4 linked regions of the Elephas maximus indicus genome follow. The protein of the gene in region 4 interacts with the protein of the main gene of each other region in a pairwise test. Links are inferred from orthologs where the notes say so. Each region holds a gene or a part of one and is shown on either strand. Other genes may lie near its edges. The genes, in order: integrator complex subunit 6-like, HTT, SMARCE1 and CEP63.

Region 1 (7,243 bases), on a different chromosome or scaffold from region 4:
TCTAACATCACTGATGGAAGGACCTCAGAATCCTAATAAAGAGTGAAGTTTTAAGTGGGAACTAAGACGCCTGCTGACAATTGAAGAAAGACCTATCTGATAACCAGTGTGACAGAAAACAGACATTTATGGCTCCAAGCTATTAGTAAGTGAAAGACTAGACTAAGTTTTAAGAAAAATTCACCAGATGTTCTAAAATTTCAAACCTTCCAAACTAGCTAGACCCCAAATGTAAAAGAACAAATAGTTACCACATGCTGCGGGGAGGGGTGGGGGTGAGCAGGGGGGAGCGGTCAAAAGAGCCTCAGAAAAAGAAAATGTTCCGGAAACATGGCCTACCATTAGCAAAATGACAAGAACATAATGAAAATCATAAACCATTTCCTAGTACATGTAGTTATCATATAAGATTAAAATGAAAAACCTGAATAACCTTGGAAAAGCATAGACTACAAAGATAACTGATTATTAATGATAAAACCATTATGCAAAGTATCTTCCCATGTCTGACCTACATATGAAAAAAAATCAAATTCAATTTGGAAGAATTTTTTTGCTTTAACAAATGTAGTAGATAAGATAAAAAAAAAAATGACAAGATAAAAAGTTAATGGATGAAATTTGCACTAAAAACAAAACCCAGCTTTTCCCCCTCTGCTCATAGAATGATCTGGAGCCTTTAAAATACCATAGATAACTTACACAGTAAAAATTTTAAGTATGAAGACTATGTGGCAACCCAGAAAAATTCATAGGATAAAATAGGTGGAAAAAGCAGAATACAAAGTAAAATGTACAGTTTATTTTTTGTGTGTGTGATTATGATGCCATGTAAAAAGAAGCTTTGACAGTGGTTATTAAAGTGAGGTGAGACTTCTTTTTCAAGGATTCTGCAAATATTGCCATTTAAGTTTTATAGAATAAAAGTATTTTTAAAGAAAGAAAAAAGCCCATCTACAATCTGGGCACTCAGAAAATGTTAAATAGTTGTTGCTTTAAAGAAAAAAGAAAGGCACACTTCTTTGTAGTTTATTCTTTTTACTACTTAAAATCAAAGAGCAAGACTTCAATTATCCACACTAGAAATGGTGGGTTCTTATCTGTGCTAGTAGTCAAAGGGTGTAGACCTTCAGACTTAGGACATGCAAACATCTGCTCTTCTATGCGGGGAAAAAAAATGGTCACACCCTTGGGGAAAACTGACATTTTTAAAGGCTTATGGAATTTTGGAAGATGTCACTTTTACTCCCATTTTTCTAAATAGAAAAATTAAAAACCGGTAACAATGCAATGAAGCCAGAACACTTTTAAGGAGGAACGTATTAATCAAACTGTTAACCGAAGCCACACGTTACAAAATTAACCTCCCTTGAGTCTTCTTTCTGAAGGAACACTCTCTAAGGCCAACTCTTCAGTTTGGCAGATTCCAATCATTAAAACACCTCATTCTGCTGAAGCGGCTTACAACACATCCAGACTGCGCCCCCTCAGCACTATTAAGATAATTCTGAGAAAAAAACATGCCTAGCAAAGGGCGTCAAGGATTATGGTAGTAATATTTTTAAAGTTCAAACATTCAAGCAGGACTCTGATGCCAGGTTGATCTTATTTGCGCTCTATTTGACCTGGCCACCACAGGCAAAGCCATTCATCTCCTCACTATAGGAACATAAATTGTTAACGACCCCACAGAAGTGAAGTCCCCCCTACTTTTCTCCTGCAGGTCAGAACCCTGGGAAGCAAATCATGGAATGTGCCAGTAAGAACTGTGCACAGTCCAACCCTCCCTCTCTTTCTTTTTCCCAGGACAACCCCCCACGTGGCTAACACAAACTCCATTACGATATAAGTAGGTAGGCCAGGTCCCTAAAATGCTCAGTCCGGGTGGATTCTGACTGGCATCCCGCCCCCACCCCATCGTGGCTCCGCTGGAATCGCCAATGAAACAGTAGCAGTAACTAGGGTAACTGGACAAATTCCAGAGAAGCAACGGAAGGCGTTTCTCCGGGTCTGGGCGTGGGGAGGCTTGCAGGGCGGACAGAATTGCCATTGGGTGGGGGTGGGCTGGAGGCGACAGAAGTGAAAAAGCAGCCTTGGTGAAGGCCGGTGGCCCGGCTGCCACGCTCTCAGCAGGAAGAGGAGGGAGCAGGAGGAAGGGGGGAGAAGGAGACTAAGAAGCCGAGAAGAGCGGGAGGTGGCGGAGGAGGGGAGGCAGGGGCGGGGCGGGGCGGGGGCGGAGCTAAGGCCCCTGGAAAGCCCGCGCGCAGCGCCACCAGCCGCCAGGGGCGGAGCCGCGCGCTAGTCCCGCCCCTGGGCGCAGCGCGTGCGGAGCGCGCCCGGGGCTGGGCCGCCTCGCCGCCGCCCTCCCTCCCGCCTCCTTCCCTCCCTCCCTCTCAGCACCGTCCTCAGTCTTCCTCTCGCCGCCTCATACAAAAGCAAAATGTCCGCCATCTTCCGCGGCTGCGGCGCTCACCGCTGCTCCTAACCCGGCCCGCCTGCGGCTTCCCCGCGGGGCCGCCCACCCGGCCCCACCCCACCCGCGCCGCCGCGACTCGGAAGCCGGCGCCGCTCCGCCCGCCCTGGGCGCGCCCCCGCGGCCCCCGGGCGACGCAGGACCGCCGCGGGCGGGGGACGGGGGTAAGCTGCCCCGCCGACCTGCCCCCTCCGCGCCCACCCACCCAGAGGGCCCCTTTACCTTGATGCAGTACGGGGGCTCATCGTAGGTGACCAGCATGTACCTGTCTCCGCGACTGGCCGGGTCGCGGGCGCGCAGCTGCGGAGCAGAGATGACGGAGGGCAGCGCAGGGAAGAGGGAGGGGGCGACACGGACGTTACAGAAGCACCTGAATCCGACCCATCCCTGGGGGCTCTCCCTGCCTCTCCCCTCCCCTCCCTTTACCTTCAGGAATAACTCCACAGCGCCTTTGGCAACGTCCAGATAGGAGGTGCCCAGGTCAGTGCGCTGGTTCATAGAGGCGGACGTGTCTATGAGGAAGAGCAGGATGGGCATCTTCCTTGGCACCCCTGGCTCCGGCTCCCCGCTCGCCTGGCCCTCTGGTCCTCACTGCCCTGCTGCACGACCCAAGCCCTCAACTCTCGCCGAGCCAGGGAGCAAGAAGCAGAGGGGGAGACGGTCCGGGGCAGATGGGACTGCTGCCGTTCTCTGCAGCCCCACTGTCCCCTCCCTCCCAGGGAACTTGAGAGTGGAAGCTTGTGTAGCCCTGGGGCCCTCCCCCTTCCTCTCTCCTGCCACCACTACTGCCGCCACCGCCGCTGCCAGGACCACTGCCCGAGCATCCGTCCTCGCTCACTCGAGTGCTCCTCCAGACTGAGAGCCCTCTCTGTTCGCCGCCACACAACTTCTGTCCGCTCACCTACCATGGGCACCATGTGACCAGGACCCGCGCCATTGGCTGCCAATTATGTGAGATTTGCATATTCATTAGATGACAGAACAAGGGGAGGGACTTGGGCGAACCCTGGGAGTTGAAGTTTGAACCTAGGCAGGAGGTAAGGGGAAAAGTTAAGGACCCTCGCTAGGATACTCCTTTATAGGACTTGGAAGCTGTTACGATGATTAATTCGGGTATTTGGGATGGAATTTCTCTTGCTCTTCAAAGATGATGGTGCGAAAGGAAGAGAGAGTTTGAGCAACAGTTGTACACAAGTACAGAAGCAGATGGTTGCACAGGCTGCACAGAAAACGCTTTGCTAACTGCACTCGATGATCAGTCGTGCCAGTGGCTAAGATCAAAACATTTCAGAAGCTGCAAACTTCTTTCCTGGCAAGACCTACTCACTCGCATTCCTTTAGTTCCCACCCCTGCCCCCATCAGTATTTGTAGTCTGCTGCTGGCCTCACATTCCACATATATCTACTTAGGAAGGAAACTTTTTTAAGTTTAAACACAGTTGCCTAAACCAGCCTGTTGTATGCACAGCCTTCTTCAGTTTCATTGAGCGCTTTGAAGTACTGCCTGCCTGTGATAATTCCACTAGCTGCTGGGTCTACACACAGGAGGTTTGTCAACCTAGATTCTGATTCAACTCATATTTATTGAGCACCTATGAAGTGTCAGGCACCCACAGTAACCTCATGTAATCTTTGAAATGGGTACGCTAGATGGCATTGTGTTCAATTTTCAGTAAAGGAATCTGCAGCCCAGCGAGGTTACGGTAACAATGAAGGATGCTCTCAGGTCTGGCTCTGGCGAGATGCTCAGTCAGTGGCAGAATACGCTTCCTTGGCTGTATGTAACACAGTTTTTAATTATGGAGGTGTGTATTCCTAGCAGTACGCTGTGTACAACACGTAAGCCTGGGCTTCAATAAATTCAATAAATATATGTACACATAAATACCCAGTGTATGTGTGTGTGTGTGTGTATATATATATATATATATATATATATATATATATATATATATATATATATATATAGCCCTGGTGGCACAGTGGTTGAGACCTATGGCTGCTAACCAAAAGATCGGTGGTTTGAATTCACCAGCCGCTCCTTGGAAACTCTACGGGGGCAGTCCTACTCTGTCCCATAGGATCACTATGAGTCAGAATCGACTCTACAGCAATGGGTTTATATATATATAGGACAGGGTAGAACTTCTCCATAGGGTTTCCAAGGCTGTAATCTTTCTGGGAGCAGATTGCCAGGTCTTTTCTCCTGTGGAGCCACTGGTGAGTTCTAACTACCCACCTTTCAGTGAGCAGAAGAATGCTTAACTACTGTGTACCTACCAGGGCTTCTTCCATATATACATATACATATATATATACACACACACACACACACATATATATATACACATACACACACACACAACACACACATTCTGTTTTTTGTTCCATATGTTACACATACGTATAGCTCTGGTGGCACAGTGGTTAAAGTGTTCAGCTGCTAACCAAAAGGTCAGCAGTTCAAACCCACGAGCTGCTCCAAGGGAGAAAGATGTGGCAGTCTGCTTCCATAAAGATTTATAGCTTTAGCAATCCTGTGGGGGCAGTTCTACTTTCTAGACGCCATGTTAAAAATTATATATAATAGATTTTTTTAAACCCTCCAAGGTGAATACTACTAAAATAATTTTCAAAAACAATTTACCAGTATTCCACCACCACTGCCAGTTGTTGATCCCAACTCATGCTGACCCCAAATGTGTCAGAATCAAATTGCACACCATAGGTTTTTTTGTTGTTGTTGAAAATATATGCAGCAAAACATATACCAGTTCAGCAGTTTCTGCATGTACCATTCAGTGACACTGATGACATTCTTCGAGTTGTGCAACCATTCCCACCCTCCTTTTCTGAGTTGGTCCTCCCCCATTAACATAAACTCACTGCCCCCTAAGCTTCCTGTCTAATCTCCACAGGGTTTTCAGTGGCTGATTTTTCGGAAGTAGATGGCCAGGCTTTTTTTCTGAGGCACCTCTGGGTAGACGTGAACTGCCAGACTTTCCGTTAGCAGCCAAGCATGTTAAATGGTGCACCATCCAGGGACTCTTATCAGCGTTAGGGAAGCACAAATGGTTTCAGTCACGCAGTGCCCCAGTGGTTAAGGACATGCAGGTCCTCCAGGATGGCCCTCTGGGGAAAAGATACTCTCTCTATGCAGGTGAATGCTTTTTTATGTATTTATTTATTTTCTTATCAGGGCATGTTATTGACTCTTTTTTGGCATAACTCAAATGGAATTGTAATGATATAAATATAGAATCTGAAAAATATCCGTGCCTCATTTGAAACTACAAAAGCGACAGTATACATAAACCATAACCATTTAGTCGATTTGTAGACTGATTCCAATTAAACCAAAGCCCAGATCCTCAACATAAAACCTCTCTTCTTCGTTTCCTGGAGGAAAGTAGACCCTGTATTATGCCCGAGTGTGCGCAGACCTCTTTATTACAGGGTTTTTTTTTTTTTTTTTGGCACAAGTAACACTAAAATCCCCAGAGCCTTTTCTACATCTTTCTCTGCTGTAAAACATCAGCTACCTTGTGTTATAGGTTATTCATGGCTTGGCTTTGTCTCTCATACTAGAATGGAAACTCCTTGAGAGCAGGCAGAGCCTACAACCTACGCCTGATACAAAGTACATGCTCAATAAAAGATTGTTGAACAAGATTGTTGACTAGGCTGTGGCTTTCATCCTTTCATTGTCTTCCCAGGTGCTCAGACATCGCCTGTAGCTCCTCTCCTCCAGTTCATCAGCCTTGCTTGTTGCTCCCTGCCTGACAGCTCCCACCCAAGCGGAGTGGGAGGTCCAGCTCCCCATCCTTGTGGCCTTCCAGGTTTGGGCCCCAGTCCGCCATCAGGCCAAGCCCTCGACCTGATACCCGCCTCCCGAGCTGACGCAGCTCCCCTTTTGTTCTATTCATGCTTCCTTGTGAAGCAGCTCTTCTTTGAGCCACTGCTCACTGTTTGTCTCTCTCAGCTAAATCCTCTTCCCAGCTGCTCCCAAATTTCAGGCCTGTTTCCACTGTCAGGCCACTGGCCAGTTGATGGAATTCTTTTTCCATTGCAGCACTATGACCTGCACTAACCATCCTGTCTTTCCAGTTTTCTCATGCTTTTTGAACTCATGGATTCTTGAAAATACTTTCCTCTTTCCTCATGTCTCTGCTCTTTATCTGCTTTTATTTCTCTTTAATACCTCACCATACTCCCCCATTCCAGACCTTTCCACCTCAGGTCTGGGGCTACAAGACATATCTCAGGAAGGCATTCCTACCAGGCACCGCTCTCCAGGCCTTCATTCCCTTCAGAACAAATGTTAGCATACTTGGCCCCATGTTTACATTTTATGTATGTAGCCCACAACCAGACAGCAGACGCTTTGCTTTGGAGGGGGCAGGGCTTAGCTACTTGCCACTCACCAAAGATTTGCTATCTTTTGCCGGTAAGTGAACCCTCATTACCACATCTTGACAAAATGACCTTACTTAACCTACTCACGACCCCTTCCCAGCCCCAGCCTTTCATGGCTCCCAGGGGAGTATAAGCTCACTGTCTGGTTTCTCCAGCACCCACTTCTTCCTCAAGCGCCTGCAATCTGGTTTGTTTCCCCAGCACTCCATGGAAACTGCTCTGAGGTCCCCAGTGGCCTGCTCCTGGCCAAATCCCATGGTCTGTTCTATATTTTCCTTTGTTGACTGAGGAGCTATATGTCACTTGCCCTCCTGAGGCCCCCCGCTCACTTTGTCTTTCAAAGCCTGCTGTCTC
Region 2 (7,320 bases), on a different chromosome or scaffold from region 4:
TTTTCAGCTGAAGCATCTAAACAGAAATGCCAAGATCCAAACTTGTGAGCAGCGAGTTTGTTAACTGAAAATTAATCACTATTCTCTTCAACAGCAAGATACATTAGAAGTAGGGTCTTTACTTACTTTATTTACAGTAATTATAACTAAACCCTATGGCAGCTGATTTCAGAGCATGCTAAGAGCCTTTAAGTTTCTATTCTAAAACACTTGCTTTAAGAAAATTTAAGGTCTAAACATTTTCACTGATTATATCTGCAAGGATACAGAAAAAACTTTAAGAGTAGTTGCCTTCGGGGATGATGTTAGGTACTTAGGAGAAAGGAGTGGGAGGGAGATATTTTAATTATTACCCTTTTGTAATTGTGGAATTTGTTAATCATCTTAATGTATTACTTATACAAAAATAATAGATTAGATTTTTAAAATAAATCAATCACACATTACCTTAAAATAATGAAACAAAATCTACCTACTTTGTCAAGCCAGCCTGAGAAGGAAACCTCTGTTACCCATATTTTGAAGATAAGCAAATTCATGTCCTGTCAAGTCAGCATAAGAAAGAGAAGGCGTCTGTTTAGACTGACCAAGTGTTTGAACAAGCCACCAGTGGACAACAGCGAGGTCTTCCTCCCCATCCCTCCCCATCGAGGACCCTGCCTAGTGCTTCCCGCTTTTACACAAGATACACACATATGCGGACGTGTGACTATAAATTATGTGCTGCAGAGATAAGCCAAACTGTCAAAAAGTTTCTCTGGATATTCAAACAGGTTTTAAGGAAAAAAATAATTTCTTTCTTTCTAAATTTTATTCTAACAATTAATCCAACATAACCTCCCTGAATCCTCATTATCTAATTAAACTCTCAGGACACACAGCAAAGATCATACAAGAAATATAAAGAACAAGTTACTAAAAATGAATCAGTCTTAACACAGTAAGACTCCTCAAGGGGCTGATTCCTGAAAACTCTTTCCTGTTGACTGCTATCTTGTACACACCAAGATCAGAAATAAAACACCTGGAGGTGAGAGAGAAGCTTGAACTGCAGCATGCTGTTGTTGTGTGCTGTATCACGAGGGCTCCTTGAAAATTGCAGCACCCATAACCCACTGCCCTCGAGTCAATTCAGACTCATAGTGACCCTGCGGGACTACTGGTCCACAGGGCTTCCAAGGGCGACCTTTTTTTGGCTTAGCAGCCGTAGCTTACTGTAGCTCTTAACCCCTACTGAACACTCAGCACAGACACTTCCAGGAAAAGCCCTTGAGTCCTATCAGAAGGTGCTATTAATGGTCTGAGAAGCTCTGCCGGCACAGTGCTTAAGGCTCTGCTGCTAACTCAGCGGTTGGCAGTTTGAACCCCCCAGCCGCTCTGAGGGAGAGAGACATGGCAGTTTGCTTCCGTAAAGATGTGCAGCCTTGGGAACCCTATGGGGCAGTTCTATGCTGTCCTATACTATGAGTCAGAATCTGATTCAACTGCCAATGGATTTGGGTTTATCAATGGTCTTTTTGTTTGAAAAATTCTCCCCAGGCACAGGCAGCGGAGATCCCTGCCTATCTAAGAGTAACAGAATGTCAGCAACGAAACAAAACAGCAGCTCGTTTACTGGCACCCCTGAGATGTCCCTGGGGTCCACACACACCCCACGTTTTAACAAGCTTGACTAGGATACTGGCAAAATGTACCCCTCATTCATCTCCCAGCAATCCGTCTCTCCCTGGGCAATGTGTCCTCCTTGTCCCCGAAGGAGACCATCAACTTTCCCTAATATTTAAGTCGGCTTTATTAGTTCCCACTGGTTAACGACAACCACCTAAGCAACTCATCTCTTCCTCCGCAATCGCGACTTGCTCAAATTCCTGCAGACCAACACCTGAGCTTACGTCGGCGGGTCTCTTACGTGACGCTTAAAAAAACGTTACTACCACTACGATTCATGAAGCAAATGCAATGCCTGGAGAATCTGGGAATACGGTCTCAAGTCACAGGCTGTTTAAAGTGCCACTTGGGAGAGCACTCTCCATTGGACGGCGTCCTCAGGCCCCTGCCCCCCCCAACCACTCCCGCCTAGACGTCCTAAACCATTATGTCATCCACTGTCCCCACATCACTCCAGCGCCAATTCCGGGCTCCCCTCGAGGTGCCCTGCGCCCCCAGCCCTCCTCCCTCTCGGACTAGCGGAGAGGAAGGGAAGCGGCCTGGAGGAAGCCAAACGGGACGTGGTCTCTAACTCCTCTAAGTTCCCTTCCTGACACACTTAAGACATCACCCCTACCCCCGTTTTTTGCAAATAAAAAGAAACAAGTTCTTTTCCTAACTCTCATCACCTAGGGAAGGCCAGAGCCTGGGGCCGTGACTTCCCTCGGTGGCTTCAGGAGGGGCCCCAGCGAGTCTCCACGTCCCCTCGCAGAAGGACGGAGACCCCAGAGAGGGGGCCCCGGGGGAGCAGGGGCTGCGGGCCCGCTGCCGGAGCTGGGCTCTCCCAGCAGGAGGGGGCAGGTGCCAACCTCCCGGGGGCTGCGAGGCCGCCACTCTCGCCGCGCGCGGGGCGGCCCAGACCGCAGGGACGCCGCTCCCCGAGCCGTCGCCCGAGGTCCCGCCCCGGGAAGAGAGGCTGCAGGGGCCCCGCGCTCCGAGCCGGGCCCGGCACTCACGGTCGGTGCAGCGGCTCCTCGGCCACGGCCGGGCCGGGCGGCGGCGGCGGGGGCGGGGGCGGCGGCGGCGGCTGCGTCTGCAGCTGAGGAGGCTGAGGCGGCGGAGGCTGCTGCTGTTGCTGCTGCTGCTGCTGCTGCTGGAAGGACTTGAGAGACTCGAAAGCCTTCATCAGCTTTTCCAGGGTCGCCATGGCGGCCTCCCGTCCGGCCGGGGCAACTCCCGGAGCCCTGGGCCCGACTCGCGGCGACGCGACGCCGCTCAGCAGCGGGGCAATGAATGGGGCCCGGGGCCGCAGCCAAAAGCGGAACCGGGGCGCTCGGCCATTTTAGAACTGTCCCGGCAGCCCCCGCGCCTCCCTACGTACCGAGACGCTCCGCGGCGGAGGCGGGGCCACGCCGGCTGGCGGGATTGACAGCCCGCGGCGACGGCTTCTGCCAATGGCCGGCCGAGGCGGCGGCCCGCCCACAGCGCCGCAGGCACGCAGCCTCGAGAGCTCCGGCCACGAGACCCAGCGCCGCGCCCCGCAAAGGCGCGGGGCGGGGCGTGCGGGAAGGGGCGGGGACGGGGCGGGGCGCGGCGGGCAGGGGGTGGGGGGAGGGGGCGGGGAGTGTTGGGAGGTGAATGGAGACAGGCGGCAGTGAATGAAGGAGGGAGGCGGAGCGCGGAGGAAAGGGCGGGACGAGAGAGAAAAAAACGAGGGGAGGGGGCGGGGCTAAGTCGGGGGGCGGGGCGCAACCAGGAGTACGGAACGTCGATGGGGCGGGGGCGGGGCCGGGGAGAGGGCGGGGCCGGGCTGGGGGGCGGGTCCGGTTGGGTAGGGGCGGGGCCGAGCCGGGGGCGGGGCATGGCTGAGGGCGGGAAGGACGGGGCCAGTCCGGGTAGGGGCTGGGCCGAGCCGGGGCGGGGCCTGTCTGGGGGCGGGGGTCAGGGCGGGGCAGAGCAGGGGCGGGGCCGGCTGGGGAGAGGGCGGGGCCGACTCGGGGGCGGGGCTTTCCGGAAGGGGCGGGCCCGGGCCCGGACGGAAGCAGACAGGAGACCAGCGGCCGGGGCGGTTCTGATCCGCCCTGACACGGCGCGGTCTGGCCGCCCGGCTCGCGAACAGGGGCTCCCGGACCGTGGCGCCGACCCTCTTGGGCGAAGCTCCAGCCCACGAGCGCCGTGCCGGGAGCCTGGCGAACGTGCGCCCTTTGCATCCTCAGCCGCCCGCCGTGGCTCCGAGAGGCAGCAGTGCTGCGGGTGGGAGCGGGCCGGGAGGGCGCCGGGGCACCGGGCTGCAGCTGCCCGTTCTCCGCTCGCCGGTTCCGGCTCTAGCTGCCGGACGAAGGTGGGACGAACGGGGCGTCGGAAAACAAACAATATTCTTAGGCAATGTTTAAGAAAATCGAAATTAATGCAAAAAACCCATCGGGAACAAAATATCCGAATACACAGTAGTGCCATTACTGAGTTTTCCCCTTGCCACGGGCTCCTGCATGGCCGGCCGGGGGCGCTGTTCCCCGGGCTCAGCCTCGCCGGCCGCTCTGCTCACCTGGGGAGCCGCCCCCTCGGCCCCGCGCAGGAAGGCGCCCCCGACGACTGGCGGCGCAGCGAGAGCGGCTGTGGCTGGGAGGTCCGTGCGCCCCACGTTGGCAGGTGATCGGCGCACTCGCTGGCCAGGCCCCGGTCATTCCCCTGCCGGGAGGAACGGGGAACAGCTGCATAGAAAACTGATTATGGTCGGTGGCTACTGAGGACCCGAGAGATCTGCCTTTCAGGGGTGAGGAGCCCAGGTGCCCCCCGTCCCCTAAAGCAGAGGCCCTGGCAGGGCAGGCGCCACAGCAGCTGGGCACCTTCCAGGACTCCCACCATGGGCGGAAGGAGGGGAGAGCGGGCCTGCAGCAGGTACAGGTGGGTAAAGTGGTAAAGCTACTCAGTCAACGGTGCTGCTCAGAGGCTGTGGCTGGTGCAGTGAGAAGCCCCTGGAACAGGTATATCAGGGCACCGCAGAGATGCCCCTACAGGAATGACCCCCACCCCCACCCAAGGGGCACCCCCTCCACAGCGGGTGGAGGTCGCTGCTCTCTCCAGTGTTGGTCTATGAGACACCTACTCATGCTGAGGGTGGTGATGGCTGGTGCTGGAGGGTCCTGGCTCCAGGGACTCCTTATCTCCTGGGGAGGTAGCTGAGCTTGCACAGGGAGGGAGTAGGAGGGCAGCTCTTCCCACCTGGCCACAGGGAGCCCCTCAGGGAGAGCAAGGTACAGCCAACCCAAGCCTTCACACTCAGATGCCTTCACACCTGCTCTCGGTGTTCCCTCTTCTGTGGCCACAAGCCACAGCCCCACCCTCTCCCAGAGCCTGTCAAGCATCCCAAAGTGTTCAGGTAAATGGAAACCCAGTAACAGGACAGGAAGCCTTGTTCCCAAGGGACAGCAATGGCCTCCCCTTCCTGGGGTAAGGACAGCAGAGAAACAAGAGGCCAAACTTCAGTCCCTGTTCCCTGAGACTAATAAAGGCCCTGTCCACTGTGTCAGGTGGGGTACCAGCTCCCACCCAGGGCAGGGCATGATGTGTTACTTGCTGGGGGAGGACGACTTCCAAGATAGCCTCAATGACCCCCAACTGCTAGGATTCACGCCCTTGTGTGCTCCCCTCCCATAAGTGCGGGCTGGACCTGGCAGTTACTGTTCCCCAATATGGCAAATGTGATAGGAGGTCACTCCGGCGATTTGGTCATGAAGATGGTGACTTCCATCTTGCTGGCACTCTATTACGTTCTCAGCTTGCACATTTTGATGAAGTAAGAGGCCATGTCGGAGAGGCCCAGGTGGCAAGGAACTGAGGGTGGCCTCCAGTCAACAGCCGATGGAGAAGTGAGTCCTGCCAACCCCACATGAGTTGGGAAGTGGATCCTTCCCATCGAGCTTCCAGGTGGGAAGCAGCATGTGAGAGACCAAGGAACAGAGGACCTGGTTAAGTGGTGCCCGGATCCCCAGCCCTCAGGAACATGAGACAATGCCTGTGTTGTTTAAGCCACCATGTCGGGGGTGATCTGTTACGGCAATAGATAAGTCAGACAGTTTCCTCCTAATAACTACTCTGACCTTCTTTAGTCATAAAAAACAGTAACAACAAAATAGTTGCCGTCAAAGTGGACTCTGACTCATGCTGACGCCACGCGTGTCAGAGCAGAAGCGTGCTCTAGCGGACTCTGACTCATGCTGACCCCACACGTGTCAGAGCAGAAGCGTGCTCTAGTGGACTCTGACTCATGCTGACCCCACGCGTGTCAGAGCAGAAGCATGCTCTACAGGGTTTTCAGTGGCTAATTTTTGCGAAGTAAGTTGACAGGCCTTCCTTCTGAGGAGCCTCTGAGTGGACCTGGACGTTTTGGTTAGCATCTGAGTACATAACTCTTTGAGCCACTCAGGGCCTCTCAACTTGTTGCCATTGCCGGCGAGGTGCTTCTGATTGAGAACAACCCTGTAGGACAGAGTAGAACTGCCTCCACAGGGATTCCAAAGCTGTAATCTATATGGAAACAGAACATCACATCTCTCCCCCGCGGAGTAGCTGGTGGGTTCGAACCTCTAAACTAGCAGCCAGGTGATCAACCACTACGCCACCAGGACTCCTTGCGGGGACTCCAGGACCTCGAGTTTTAGCTGAGCACTTTGACACTTAGCTAAAATACATTTCCCATTTTTCCTTTCAGCCATGTGACTAAATAAATTCCGCCAAGGAGATGAAAACAGAAGCAATGGGTGCTATTCTAGAAAGTCTCCGTAAAAGGGCGGGGTACACCCATCTTGAAGGGACCCCGGTAGCACAATGATTAAGCAGTCAGCTGCTAATCGAAAGGTCGGTGGTTCTAACCCATCAGCCGCTCCACAGGAGAAAAATGTGTCAGTCTGCTTCCATAAAGATTACAGCCTAGGAATCCTTATGGGGCAGTTCTACTCGGTCCTATAGGGTTGCTGTGAGTCGGAATCGACTTGACGGCAACCACCACCACCCATCTTGGAGTCCCTGGGTGGTGCAAACGTTGAACATGCTTGGCTGCTACCCAAAAGGCTGGAGGTTTGAGCTCACCCAGAAACACGTCAGAAGAAAGGCCTGGCGATCTACTTCCAAAAGATCACAGCCACTGAAAACTCTACAGCGCACTCTCTGCTCTCACACGCTGGGGGCGCCCATCTTCTCGCTGCCCAGGGATGAGGAGATATGGGTTGGCAACTGAGCAGCCACTTTTTTATTGTGCTTTAGATGAAGGTTTACAGAGCAAATTAATTTCTCATCAACCAACTATTACACATATTGTTTTGTGACGTTAGTTACCAACTTTGCAATGTGTCAGCACTGTCCCCTTCTCCACCCTGGGTTCCCCATTTCCATTCATCCAGCTTTTCTGTCCCCTTCTGCCTTCTCATCCTTGCCCCTAGGCTGGTGTGCCCACTTAGTCTCGTAGACATGGTTGAGCTACATGTATTACTGTTTGTTCTATGGGCCTGTCTAATCCTTGGCTGGTGAACTTCAGGAGTGACTTCGGTACAGAGTCATGTCCAGGGGCCATACTCTCAGGGTTTCTCCAGTCTCTGTCAGGCCAGTAGGTCTGATCTGTTTTTGTGAGTTAGAATTTTGTTCTACATTTTTCTCCAGCTCTGTCCAGAACCCTCT
Region 3 (6,872 bases), on a different chromosome or scaffold from region 4:
TGGGTGAAAAAAATTACTTCACAACTATTCATTCTTTAGACATTTTGAAACTTATCAATTCCCAAAACAAAAAGATATTATTCATAAAGTGGAATAAAATAGCAGGATCTGACCCAGAGATTATAAAATCATTACTTGAACAGCTTGAAAATAAAGATTTACAATGAGTGCTATTGTAGAACTAGAAGCTTTATTGTTTGATTTAATACGAAAATTACGTATAGACAAAAGAGGAGAGAAAAATATAACCAATTGAAGGTTAGGTTTTAAAAAAAAAAAAAAGCCAGAATGAGCATTCACTCAATATCAACTTTAAAGACTCTTAATAATAAAGATTAATAAGGGAGAAGTGTTAAACTTGTCGCTTATTTCCCGTTTAGAAGAAAAAAAGTGAGCATAAGAGATCAGAATTTTGGTAGTATGTTTCTTTAAATGTTGGGGTTGGTTCCAGGTAAGATGCAAAGAGTTATTTTTCTATTTAGTAGGAAGTGCTGTTTTTTTAGCTGACTTTCTCATACTGTTGTTGTGTTGATTGAGTGACTGTCACTGGAAGACATCTGGGTTTTTGTATCAAGGCCAGACTTGGCTATTACATTAACAAGAAAATTAAAACTTACTGTTGCAGGAGCTGGGGTGGGAGGTGGGGCATAAGATGGTCTTTCTGTTTGAAAGAAAATAAATAACTTCTTGTAAACAACTGAGATATAACACTATGCAACAAAACTACCAATGGTCCTGTTTTGAAGAAAAAAATGAGAGTATTTTGGAATTCCCATTTGCTAGGGCATTAGTCTCTTATTAACATAGATTGATAAATATAAAAATGAAACTTACTTGACATTTTGGAAGATTTAAGTTCTCAGTTCCTTAAGAATGAATCTGAGACACTAAAATAAAAAAAAAAGAAAAAAAAAGAAAAAGAAAAAAAAAAAGAGAATCAAAACTCAGCAAGCATAAGAGAATGTTTTCCTAAAAAATAGGGTAGTTTAATTGGTATTTCAGAGTAAAATTAGTTCTCTTTATCTGCTAGTAATCAAGCCTTTTGTGTATCGTTTTTACTAGTTATTGTTGATCATTTGGTTGATCAGAGTTAAATGACTAAAGCAAATCACTAGGGACATTAAGAGTAATATTAGACATGTACCCTTAGGCTTTTTTTTTTTTTAATGACACTGAGCCACCTTTTGTATGGAAAACATTTTGCTGATGCTATGTAAACAATCTGATAAAAAGATGACAATAGAATGTGATGTATTATCTGGGCCCACCCCAACAAGGCCTAGCAGATACTGACAGCTTCCTTATCAGAGCTCTACCTTTGCTTAGGTAACAAACTTCCAATAAAATAGCACTGTATTTTATTCCTGGAGGCTGTGCAAAAGGTAATTGGTATGATAATGAGCTGTAGCATTCTCTCATAGTGGCAAATAGCTTCATAACTGCTGAGAATAAATTTTGAAAGTCTACCTGAAAAACTCTTATTCGTCCTTCAGAGCCATTTTCAAGATTTAACTCCTCAATGGAGCCTTCCAAGTAAGTTACCTGGGCAGAGTTAATTGCACCCTCCTCAGTATTCCTGGCAAATTTACATAAATCTCTGATATTGTTTATTCTATCTCACTTTTTATTTGTCAATATGACCAGATTATGTGCTGTTTGGGATTACCAGCTCACAACACAACCATATACATGTGGGCTGGTTCCTTACGTCAGTACACATCGCAAAGAGTAGAGTACAAAGAGACGAAAAGTTCATTTTTAGAAAAAAAAGGCAAATAAACTTCTATGTCTACTGGTGCACTTTCATCCAAACGTTATATTAAACAAACATGATTTTTTGGTCCTAGTTTGCATTTTAGGGGAATTCCCTAGAGTACAAGAAATAAGAGGCCTGATGTGGATGGAAATAGCTTATTCTATCAATGGCCCCTCCTGGCTCTCTCTCTTTCCTTAAAAAACAGGCAGAAACTATTGGTCCAGACTTCCCTCCTGCTCACATTCAGGGAGCTGTCAACACCCAGTAGGCCTTGTTCCGGGGAGCCCTAATGACAACTGCCACAAACTGCTTGTACATCACTTTATTGTTAATGCTTTGCAATTATTTATCTCCCCTACTAGGCTACAAATTTTAAGAGTGGGCTTGTACATTTGTTTGCCACTGGATTCAATCCCAGGGTCTGGCACGTAATACTCAGTATTTGTTGAATGAATGCCTCATAAGGGATAAGCTTATCATCTACGCTCTCCTGTTTAATAGCTACAACTACCTTACGAAACGTTCATTGCTATCCCTATTTTACAAATTAAAAAAAAAAAAAGGGACTCTTAGGGAATTTAGGTAACTTGTCAAAAGCCACACAGCCAGGAAGTACTCGAGTTGGGTTTCAAACCCAGGCCAAACTGTTTCAGAGCCTTCGCTCTTCACTCCAAGCCACACCGTAAATTACCACGTCGTTGCCTGGACCAAGAGGAACCACACTCCTGGGAGTGAGGACCAGGGGCACGGTTTGCTCCGAGAGCTTCCTGTGAAGTCGTTTCCTTTGTTTGTCGGGGAAAATGCACTTTACCAGCAACTCAACTAAAGGGGTGTATGCGTAAGTGCTCTGGTCAATTCCTGAGGGCTACTGGACAGGGCAAATGCTGCCGCTGAGGAGAACCCACAGACGGGACTCCTTACCAATCCTCACACCGCTAGGCCTCAGAGTGGACGCAACCGGCCCCACCTCTGGCTCCGCTGCCAAACCTAAACCCGGGTAACCCCTGGGAAGTCGGGGTCCAGCCAAGCGGGGACATCACAGCTCGCCACCCTCCCAACCCGGTCGGGCCCGCTCCAAAACACTCACCCGCGGGCAAGCAGAGCGCCCGCAGCTTCAGCTTCGCTTCCCTTTGTCCCGCACACGCCCCGCCCCTCGCGCGCCGAGCTTCCGTACTCGCACTTTCGACACTTCTTCGTAATTTACTTACAGACATCACCCGCTTTTCTCTACAGAAGTAAAGCTTCCATAGTGGGCTTGGTGATGTTTAGTATAATTCCTGATTTTTAAAGGCTTCACAGTTCCTCAAAAGTTCTCTAATTTGGGCACTTTCCCAGCCAGGCGCCGATTCGTCACTACGGAAAGGGCGGAGGCGGCTCGGCCGCGGGATAGGCCCGGATTTCGCTGCTGGGAGGAATCAAAGCGTCTGCAACGTCGGGTGACGCGGCGGGCGGTGCGAAGCCGTACTGAGAGGAGGCGGGGAACGTGGCTTCAGCTTAGTCGGAGGACCGCGGGAATCGCGACGGGGCGTGAGGCTCCGGAACCACCCGGCTGGGCTCAGGTAGCGCTCACTCCATAGGCTCTTCTTTTCTCTTGCTTCTTCGGCTAGAGTATATACTTACGCAAGCCGAGGATGGAGCCGGAGAGGACTCTGTTGACTGAGTTTTACGTCCTCACAGGCATTCTCGGGTCTTCCTGCCATAACGTCCGGGCATTAGCCTTGACGAAAAAGCGCTGCCTCTCATTTCCACGGAGTTTTTCAGTTTTCGTTTTCAAGCGCTTTTATGGTGTAATTGCTAGTTTTCTGAGACAAGACCCAGAGATGTTAAGCCCTTTGACGCAGCGCGCGGGGTGCCACTGGTCTCTGTGCCAAAGCGTGCCTTGGCTCATTTGGTTCCCTCCGCAGGGAACGACTGCCCCTCACTTCAGCTTAAACTCATTTGTTCTTCTCAATTCAGCTCAAATGGCTGTTCCTCATGCCGTCCTGGGCTCTCCCTCCAATAATCCTTCCTCTCTACTCCCATGGCACTTTGATAACTTCTTTACTGTAGTCCTGTACTCAGCCCATTGTATCAGGTTGTGTTTGTCAACTTCGATGCATTATGAGGGCCTTGAAAATAAAGATTCAGCCTTCTGTTTCGATCGTCTTTGTATTACCAGTGCAATATTGCTTGATCCGTTATTAAAAGCCGTTACTTTCGAGTTGATTCTGACTCTTAGCGACCCTATAGGACAGAGTAGAACTGCCCTGTAGAGTTTCCAAGGAGCGCCTGGTAGATCTGACCGCCGACCTCCTGGTTAGCGGCCGTAGCACTTAACCACTATGCCACCAGTGTTTCTGATCCGTTATTAGGTGCATAATAAATGTGTTTTGAAGCGGATTTATTAACTAGTCCTGGGCTTTTCCCACAAAATCATAATCACGAGTAAGTAGGTTTACCATGTGGAGTGAGCGGCCCCTTCCTTGGATATGTAAACACCTAGCTGATGTTGTGGGTCACTTTGGAGGAAGAAGGAACAAATGAGATCCCTAACTTGTTATTACTATGCTGACAACTAAATGACAATAGTGTTGACATTTAGAGTGACTGAATTTTTGGGCTGCTCTTCGGCCGTCCTGGGTGTGCCAGTAGGGAATGGGGTATCTCTACAAGGAGGCAAAGTCAATATTTTTGTACTCGTGAATGGGGATTAATGAAATTGAAGAGCATATTGATGGGAAAGATTAAAGGAAAGATTGCCAAAGGATAACAGGCAGTTCGAGTGGTGGTTAAAATAATGTACATGAAATTGTTGTTTTAATATAAAAGTATCAGAAACATGTAAAGGATTAATGTGAAATACAGGAAGGCCTCCTCAGGGATCCCGTACCTCTTTGGCTTTGTCAAGCAACTCTAGCCTGATTTCTGCACTGCCTTTAGGGTTATGGTTGGGGGGCGGGGGATTGGTCAAGTGTGTGCAAGGACACGTGGTCTATTGTGTCATCTCCAGGCAGTCCTCTGAAGAAAAACCACAGGTACAAGATATTAGGAAAACCACACTGTAATGGGAGAGTTGTGGCACAAAAATGATGAAAAGGGAAAGGTGAAGCAGTGACATTGACTGGTATGGTTTCTTACCTCCTTCTAGTCTTTATTCAGTCTGCCAACTTCTCAGAAGGTCTTTCCTGACCTATTTAAAATTGCAACTTGTAGAACAAAATAGGAGGACTCACACTTCCTGATTTTAAAACTTACTACAAAGCTACAATAATCAAAATGATGTGGTACTGGCTCAAGGGTAGACATATAGACCAATGGAATAGAGTTGAAAGTCTAAAAATAAACTCATGCATCCATGACCAAATGATTTTTGACAGAGTGCAAGTCTGTTTTTCAATGAAAAAAGAATAATCTCCTCAACAAATGGATTTCCACAAGCAAAAGAATAAAGTTGGACCCCTGCCGCTTACCATATTCAAAAATTAACTCAAAAAGGGATCAACGTCCAAATTGTGAGTGCTAAAACCATAGAACTCTTAGAAGAAACATAGGGGTAAATCTTCAAGACCTTGTATTTGACAGCGAATTCTTAGATATGATAACAAAAGCATGAGCTATAAAAGAGTAAAGTAGAAGAATAGATAAGTTGGACTTGATCAAGATAAAAAAACTTTTGCACATCCAAAGACATCAAGAAGATACTACGCATCAATAAAGAACAGTGAGGAATCTGTGAAACATTTCATAACATGGAGGAACCTGGAAGGCATTATGCTGAGTAAAATTAGTCAGTTGCAAAGGGACAAATATTGTATAAGACCACTGTTATAAGAACTTGAGAAGTAGTTTAAACTGAGAAGAAAACATTCTTTTGTGGTTACAAGAGGGGGAGGGAGGGAGGGTGGGAGAGGTGCATTCACCGATTAGATAGTAGATAAGAACTACTTTAGGTGAAGGGAAAGACAGCACACAATACAGGGGAGGTCAGCACAATCAGGCTAAACCAAAAGCAAAGAAGTTTCCTGAATAAACTGAATGCTTCGAAGGCCAGCGTAGCAGGGGCAGGGGTCTGGGGACTATGGTTTCAGGGGACATCTAAGTCAATTGGCATAATAAAACCTATTAAGAAAACATTCTGCATCCCAGTTTGAAGAGTGGCGTCTGGGGTCTTAAACACTAGCAAGCAGCCATATAAGATGCATCAATTGGTCTCAACCCACCTGGATCAAAGGAGAATGAAGAACACCAAGGACACAAGGCCATTACAAGCCCAAGAGACAGAAAGGGCCACATGAACCAGAGACTACATCAGCCTGAGACCAGAAGAACTAGATGGTGCCTGGCTACAACCGATGACTTCCCTGACAGGGAACACAACAGAGAACCCCTGAGGGAGCAGGAGAGCAGTGGGATGCAGACCCCAAATTCTCATAAGATCAGACTTAATGGTCTGACTGAGACTAGAAGGACCCCGGTGGTCATGGCCCCCAGACCTTCTGTTGGCCCAGGACAGGAACCATTCCCGAAGCCAACTCTTCAGACATGGATTGGACTGGACAATGGGTTGGAGAGGGATGCTGGTGAGGAGACAGCTTCTTGGATCAGGTGGACACTTGAGACTATGTTGGCATCTCCTGCCTGGAGGGGAGATGAGAGGGTGGAGGGGGTTAGAAGCTGGTGAAATGGACACGAAAAGAGAGAGCGGAGGGAGAGAGCAGGCTGTCTTATTGGGGGAGAGTAATTGGGAGTGTGTAGCAAGGCATATATGTGTTTTTGTGTAAGAGACTGACTTGATCTGTAAACTTTCGCTTAAAGCACAATAAAAATTAGAAAAAGACATCAAGAAAGTGAGAAGACAACCTATAGAATGGGAAACATTTGGAAATCATATATCTGATAAGGGTTTAATGTTCAGAATATATAAGCAATTACAACTCAACAGTAAAAGGACAAACAGTCCAATGAAAAAATGAGCAAAGGACTTGAACAGATATTTCACCAACAACCAACGAAGATATAAGTGGCCAATAACCACATGAAAAGATGCTTAACATCATTAGTCATTAGGGAATTGCAAATCAAAACCACAATGAGGTATACTACTTCATATCCACTACGATGGCTCTTATTTAAAAAA
Region 4 (6,906 bases):
TGGACATGAGTCAGGTACTGACTCGGTGGCAGTTAAAAAACATAATGGCAAGACATACAGGTGAAAAAAGCAAGATGCAAGAGTACATGTAAGTACTATCTTTTATATATATTTGCTTCTAGGTATATTTGTTTTTTATGGAAAGATAAGCCTAAAACTGCTAAAAATGATTACTCACAGGAGGGAAAACAAGTAGGGTGGAGGCAACAAGGATGAAAGCTATACTTCTCTGGATGTACCTTATTTTACAGGGACTTGTTTTTTGTTTTATAGGAAGGTCCCCAAATGGCACAAACAGTATGTACTCGACTGCTAGCCTAAAGGTTGGTGGTCCAACCCACCTAACAGCACCACAGAAGAAAAGCCCTGCAATCTGCTTTCATGCAGATTACAGGCAACAAAAACCCTATGGAACAGTTCTATTCTGTAACACAGGGGGCTGCCATTAGCTGGAACCCACGAGGTGGCAAGAGTTTTTTTTTTTTTTTTTTGGTTTGTTTTATAGGAGCTACATTAATGCTTTACATATAACAAAACCAATCAAAATTTTTAAAAAGCAATACTGAAAGGCTGGAAACAAAATGAAATAAGTGAATCAACTAAATATCAAGTTGGCAGCCTGCCATTTAAATTATTTCATATGCCTTTAATAAAATAATTTTATTGCACATATCCCTAGTGGAGTAAAAACTAAGGATAAAAAAGAACTGCAAAGAAATCCTAAACACCACTTGGGAATTATATGAATAATAATATAATTATATGAATTATATGAATATGAATAATAACAATAATTGGTATTGTTAATTTGAAACCATTACATAATTATAGGATAAGGCAAAAAAGAAATATTTAATGACATTAGGTACCAAGATTTTCAGCAAGAGAAAAAGATACAAATATAAAATCAAACACATGATTTAAAAAAAAAATCTATAATATTAAACTGGAAATGTCATTGTGAACTCTGTACATTTCTCTTTTAGCTCTGGCTACTGTAAATCGTAGAACCAATGACCACCTAAAAGGAACCAGGGCTCCTTGGAGGCCAGAAATGTATAGATGACCAGGAATATGTTTTACTAGGAAGCAAGAAAATTATCAGAGACTACTGGAGTCATGTCAAAAAGAACAAGAGCCAACTTAAAAGGACTTCTGCTAGTTAAAGATAGTACAATTTGACTATCAAAGAAAAGAACAATGATTCCAATAGGTCAAAACAGTTAAAATATATTCAAATCTATGAGTATATGATGATAAAAAATTAAAAAAAGCAAAAACCTGCATGGTTACCTTTGGAAGTTGCTAGGGCACCGACTCATTACTGTAGTCTGAAAATAGAGGGAAAGAGGTAAGCATTTTTCTCGCCTTTCCTGTACAAACTGTATGTCAGGATAATCAAATAGCTGATGAGGGAAAGTCATCCTTCATAAAAGATTTCCACCTAATAAATACAGAAATAATGAAAAAATTGCAAAATCACCATTTTGCAAACCCTAATGCAATAATTTGGTGGCGTAGCGGTTAAGTGCTATGGCTGCTAACCAAAAGGTCGGCAGTTTGAATCCGCCAGGCATTCCCTGGAAACTCTGATGGGGCAGTTGTACCCTGTCCTGTAGGGTCACCATCAGTCGAAATCGACTCGATGGCAACAGGTTTGGTTTTTTTTTTAATGCAATAATAATAGGATCAGACAGTGTTTTGTTCTGTTGTACATAGGGTCGCTATGAGTTAGAAGGACTGGATGGCACCTAACAACAACAATGCAATGATTAGGAGCCCTAGCGGTGCGTTGGTTAAATGCTCGGCTACTTACTGAAGGGCCTGCAGTTTGAACCCACCAACTACTCCATGGAAGAAAGATGTGGCAGTCTGCTTCTGTAAAGATTACAGCCTTGGAAGCCCTATGGGGCAGTTCTACTCTGTCCTATAGGATTACTATGAGTCAGAATCAACTTGACAGAAAATACCGCAATAATGGATACAGTAAATCTAACCCACAAAAGTATTTTACCAACAGGTGAACCGCTCATAGGAGCTTTTATGATGAATGGATTGGGCTAACAACACCTGAACCCACTGTTCACAAAAAGAGACCACTCAGACACTACCTGCCCCCCGACAATGATACAATAGCAAGTACACTGCAGCACCTATAAAATATTCTTGCCCCCACTCATCAAAAAAAGAAAAAAATCAAGGGTGAATATGATCAAGCTTATAGGTAAGTGCTCTTCAACAGAGCTTTATGCAATTACGGAAATTATGGGCGACTGGGCTTAAAATGTGGCTAATGCAGCTAATGAAATAAATTTTTAATTTTAATTAATCTAAATAGCCACAGTTGGCTGGTGGTTACCATATTGGACAGTGCAGTTCTATATCTAATGGTTTAGCAGAAATAACAGAGGTACAAGTTAAAGGATACCACATAGCTACAACCAGCTAAATCTAGATGGCAATGAAAAAAGGGGAAAGAGAAAAGCAAATTACTAAGATTGTAACAGACTTAAAAAGTATATCAACCAAATGTAACATGTGGGTAGATCTTTACAAGACTTTCATCCAAACAAGCGAACTGTAAAGACATTTATGGGATGGTTGGTGAAATCTGAACCCTGCCTGGATATTGACATTATAGAATTATTAATTTTGTAGGTGTGATGACAGTATCATGGTTTTGTAAAACCGAAAAAAGAAACCTCTGTTCTTGGAGGGAAAAACCCGTAAGTAACATAAAAATCAGAAATTCAATTCCTGAAACCTTATGTCATAATTGGCTTTGGCAGAACAAGTCAACATTGGAAAAAAAAGGAATGATCTAATGAGAGAGTGGACTACTCACCATAAGGCTAAGGGCTTCTACCTCTTAAGTGGAGGAAAATGGCATCAGTACAATTAATATATATACTTATCACAAATTTTTTACATCTGAATTTACATCATTTTAAATGGCAGTGTCAATCCAAATGTTTATAAATCTCTAATCCATTTTAGTTTAAAGCCTTTTTTAAAATTATACCTATCTCTGATAATGACATAGTCAAAAGGCAAGCAGCAAGCAAGTTTGAGAAACAAATGGAAATTTATAAGAATGAATAATTTTTTCAAACCTTCTGAATTCAGGATAAAAATTAAAGACAGTATTGTATTCCACATAAGAAAAGATATACTTTTTATTGTATCATTAAGCTCTAGCTATTAAGTGTATGGAATCTCTGGGTGGTGCAAAGGTTAATGTGCTGGGTTGCTAACCGAAAGTTTGGAGGCTCAAGTCCATCCAGACGCACCTCAGAAAAAAGGCCTGGCAACCTGCTTCTGAAAAATAAACCATTGAAAATCCTGCAGAGAACAGTTCTACTCTGACACACATGAGGTCGCCATGGGTCGGGATGAACTGGATCATTTTTTTGTTTTGTTTTGGTTTAAGTATAAACGTAAATATTTGAAGGTAAAGTGTAGTTGATGATCATTATCATGATTTCCTCTTCATCTACAGCCTTGGTGGCACAGTGGTTAAGAGCTCAGCTGCTAACCAAAAGGTTTTAAGTTTGAAGCTCCTTGGAAACTGTGAGGCAGTTTTACTATCCTATATGGTCGCTGAGTTGGGATTGACTCCACCAAAATGGATTGTTTTTTTCTTCATCTCTATGAAATAAAAACTAAATGCTAACATGAGCATTTATAAGGACCTGTACAAATATGGGAATCTACAATATCGCTTTATTAAAGAAATAAAGTAGCTTTCTTTAAAAATCGGTTTAGGGAATCAGACGCAAAAACTAAGTGCTCAGGGGAAACTACTTTATGGAAGTGTACTGCACTGTTAATTACAAAAAAAGACTAGTCTCTGACAGCCTTATATTTCTCTCCTGATGTTACAGGGACACAAGAAAAACCCCATCACGAGCTAGATTTACTGTCTCTATTTTCAGGATTAAAGTGTTTCTAAGGAATCGCCGTTTTTAACCCACTCTTACGTGGTTCCCAGTCCTGACTTGCACGCATGGAGCAATCAGTTCAGGGTTCCCCAACTTCAGTCCTTCCCGAATTTTGCCACATCCTCGTACTTCCTGTACTAAATATTAGCATTTTTTAAACGAATTCGCTTTTTTAAAATTGTTAACCACCCAACCATTCATGAGCCGGTACTACCTGCAATAAATCAGCAACAATGCTAGAAAATTCTAACCAGATCCAGCAGCAGGGACAGATTGTCCAATAAACAAGGCACGCACGGGCTTACTTGTGCTTATTATTAATTTGTGCTTATTCACCTACGGGCCAGGTGAAATTGTGCACTCCAGAGAAGTAAACACAAGTGAACCCGTGTGTACCTTGCTTACCGGTCAATGCGCCCCTATCCAGCAGCCTAGGTAAGGGGTTGTGCTGAGGGACCAGCACCGTAAGGAGGAGAGCGCGCGGGAGCCTTTGCCACGAAGAGCGGACTGCCAGCGGCCCGCCCACCCGACTGCTCCCCGAAGCACCCCTCCCCGCCGCCGGGCTCCAGCAAGGCTGACCACCTGGCGGGCCCGGAACGCGCGCCAGGCGCCGCTACGTCCGCCTTCACAGGCCGGCAGGAAGCGCGCAGCATAGCCGAGGGGCGGGGGGCGGAGGGGCGCCGAGACGGGCTTGGCGGCTTGCGGGCGGCGGCGGCGGGGACCGGGCCATGCGGCCCCGCGGCCGGCGGCACCACTGCAGCCAGGTCGCCCTCCGAACGAGCCCGCCCCTCACCCGCTGCGCCAAGCGCACAGGCGGTTACCGGGGTACCGCGAGCGCGCCCCCGACCCTTCCCGCCGTTACCTCGGGCCGGGGACGCGCACGCGCGTCCCCACCAGCCCTACGTCCCGGCTCTGTCGTTAGCACGTTCGTTCCGCCCACTCCCCCCTCACTCTTCCTTGAAACAGTGTCCTTTCAGGACCTCCCCTCTGCGCGCGCAAATGGGCTCACCCACATCCGGGAACGCGCGAGAGGGGCGTGCTCGGCGGAAGCGAGGCCGCGGTGGGCTGGGTGCTGGGGAGAGCTTCCCGCGCTCCCGGCCCAGGTCTGGGGAGGGCGAGGAGGCCTTCGCTCTTTGTGTTGGGTCTCCTCCCCGTCTGCCGTTGGCCGAAGTCGGTGACCTTACCTCTCTCCCTGGGAGTTACCGCCCGCACCGCACGCCTCGTGGGGCGAAAAGGCGCGTCCGGGCGGCGGGGGACCCCCTCCCGGCCTCCGTATTCGGTCTGTGCAGCCCCAGGCCGGAAGCCGCGGCTGTGGAGCGGCCACACGCACAGGGGTGTAGACGGTGGTGACCCGCGAGGACGGTTCTGGCGAAGGAAAGATCGTTCTGCTTGATTCTGTAAATACGTTCTCAGGGCCGTGAAGGAGAGATGGGTAAAACGTGTCCGTGTTTCAGGGAACGCGCGCCGCCCTTCTGGGAAGACACGTAACGAGCCCGTAGTGTGGCCGCTCCATGCGCCGGGAGACGCTAGGACCCGCGGAGGGTTGGGCGTCGCGCTCTCCTCAGGCTGGGAGAAAACCGTCGGCAGGAGGCTTACCTGGAGCTGATCTTTTAGATGGAGGTTTAGCCGAGATGAGAGAAAAGAGCACCCCAGGCGTTAGGGCTAACACATGTGTAGGCACAAAGGCGTGGGAGAGAAAAGTTTGTTTAGTAAATTCCAAGTGTATTCGGTCGAGTGTGGTGAGTGCTTGGGACAGTGGCCGTGTCCTAATACCAAAAACCCACTGCCTCCAGTTCGCTCCGACTTACAGCGATTCTGTAGGATAGAGTAGAACTGCCCCATAGAGTTTCTAAGGCTGTAATCTTTAGGGAGCAGACCAAAACCAAACCCACTGCCGTCGAGTCGATTCCGACTCATAGGACCCTATAAGACCGAGTAGAGCTGCCCCATAGAGTTTCCAAGGAGCGCCTGGCAGATTCGAAGTGCCGACCCTTTGGTTAGCAGCCGTAGCACTTAACCACTACTAGGCATCCAGGGTTTCTTTAGGGAGCAGACTGCCACATTTTTCTCCCTAAGTGGCTTGTGGGTTCGTCATTGGTTTCAATGACGTTTGGGTTAGCAGCCGAGCACTTTAACCACTGTGGCACCAGGGCACCTTCCGCTTGTCTTAGACATGCTTATATTGATGCTTCCCACTTCTCCAGTCCATTAATCGTGAAGCCACCTAACCCCAGGAATGGGGTGTTGAATCCAGTGCCAGATTGGGGAAAAAAGTAGGAGTTAGTGATAGGGAAAGGGCGGCTATAAGTGCAAGGGCTGGGAGGTGTGACAGGATTGGAGGTGTTTGAGAGAGGAACAGGTGAAAAGCGATAGAAACAAAATTGGGGAAAGGTATGCCAAAGAGTCATTAATAACCAAATTTATATATATAACAATTGGAGATAATATTTTTTTAATCAGTGGGCCACAATGCTGCCCTGACTTGGTTAGTGGATCGTAATGACAAAAAGCAAGAACAGAAATTAACTAAAACTCTAGTGATTTCAGAAAATTTTAGGAATGGTGAAATCTGTGTGGGCCTGGAAAAATCTGCAGGTTTGAATCAGTGGAGAAAAGTGAGGGGGGCATGGGGGAAGGGAACAGAGCAGAAAGGACAAAGGGAGTGGTAGCAGGACAAAGGAGCGCCCTTGGAGGACAGCAACTCCACAGGTATAACTGGAACCGAAAGTGAAAAAGCCTTGTGTGTAAATTTCCTAAACACAGGCTCTTTCAACTTGATTGACATTGTCGGTATAGTGGAGTAATTCTTAAGTGAAATATTACGATCTTCCTAAACTAGTTTACTGGTGGCAAAGATAGCTGGGCACCTTTTGCTTCACAGTTTTGCCTGGATCCTTACAAGAGTAAAAAACTTGCCCTACCCCAACCTGTGTAATTATTGCCCCAGTGTTTGGGCTATTGTGCA

What was found.
Region 1: the proteins of CEP63 (region 4) and integrator complex subunit 6-like interact in a two-hybrid assay, tested with the Homo sapiens proteins (2 studies listed by BioGRID and IntAct). The link is inferred for Elephas maximus indicus from reciprocal best matches to the Homo sapiens genes CEP63 and INTS6L.
Region 2: the proteins of CEP63 (region 4) and HTT interact in binary tests that used the Homo sapiens proteins (3 or more experiments, as listed by UniProt). The link is inferred for Elephas maximus indicus from reciprocal best matches to the Homo sapiens genes CEP63 and HTT.
Region 3: the proteins of CEP63 (region 4) and SMARCE1 interact in binary tests that used the Homo sapiens proteins (3 or more experiments, as listed by UniProt). The two-hybrid records come from large-scale screens. The link is inferred for Elephas maximus indicus from reciprocal best matches to the Homo sapiens genes CEP63 and SMARCE1.

What each region holds. Positions count from the first base shown.
Region 1 is NC_064846.1:20,183,394-20,190,636, forward strand, and holds the start of integrator complex subunit 6-like, read right to left. Parts: upstream 3,011-7,243; coding exon 2,900-3,010; coding exon of another isoform or gene 2,774-2,899; coding exon 2,696-2,773; intron 1-2,695.
Region 2 is NC_064823.1:162,026,945-162,034,264, reverse strand, and holds the start of HTT (huntingtin), read right to left. Parts: upstream 3,020-7,320; 5' UTR 2,855-3,019; coding exon 2,664-2,854; intron 1-2,663.
Region 3 is NC_064837.1:47,751,757-47,758,628, forward strand, and holds the start of SMARCE1 (SWI/SNF-related matrix-associated actin-dependent regulator of chromatin subfamily E member 1), read right to left. Parts: upstream 3,026-6,872; 5' UTR 2,971-3,025; coding exon 2,844-2,970; intron 888-2,843; exon of another isoform or gene 842-887; coding exon of another isoform or gene 835-841; intron 662-834; coding exon 618-661; intron 1-617. UniProt on the Homo sapiens protein: Involved in transcriptional activation and repression of select genes by chromatin remodeling (alteration of DNA-nucleosome topology).
Region 4 is NC_064844.1:45,036,906-45,043,811, forward strand, and holds the start of CEP63 (centrosomal protein of 63 kDa), read right to left. Parts: upstream 3,023-6,906; 5' UTR 1,425-3,022; coding exon 1,294-1,424; intron 1-1,293. UniProt on the Homo sapiens protein: Required for normal spindle assembly.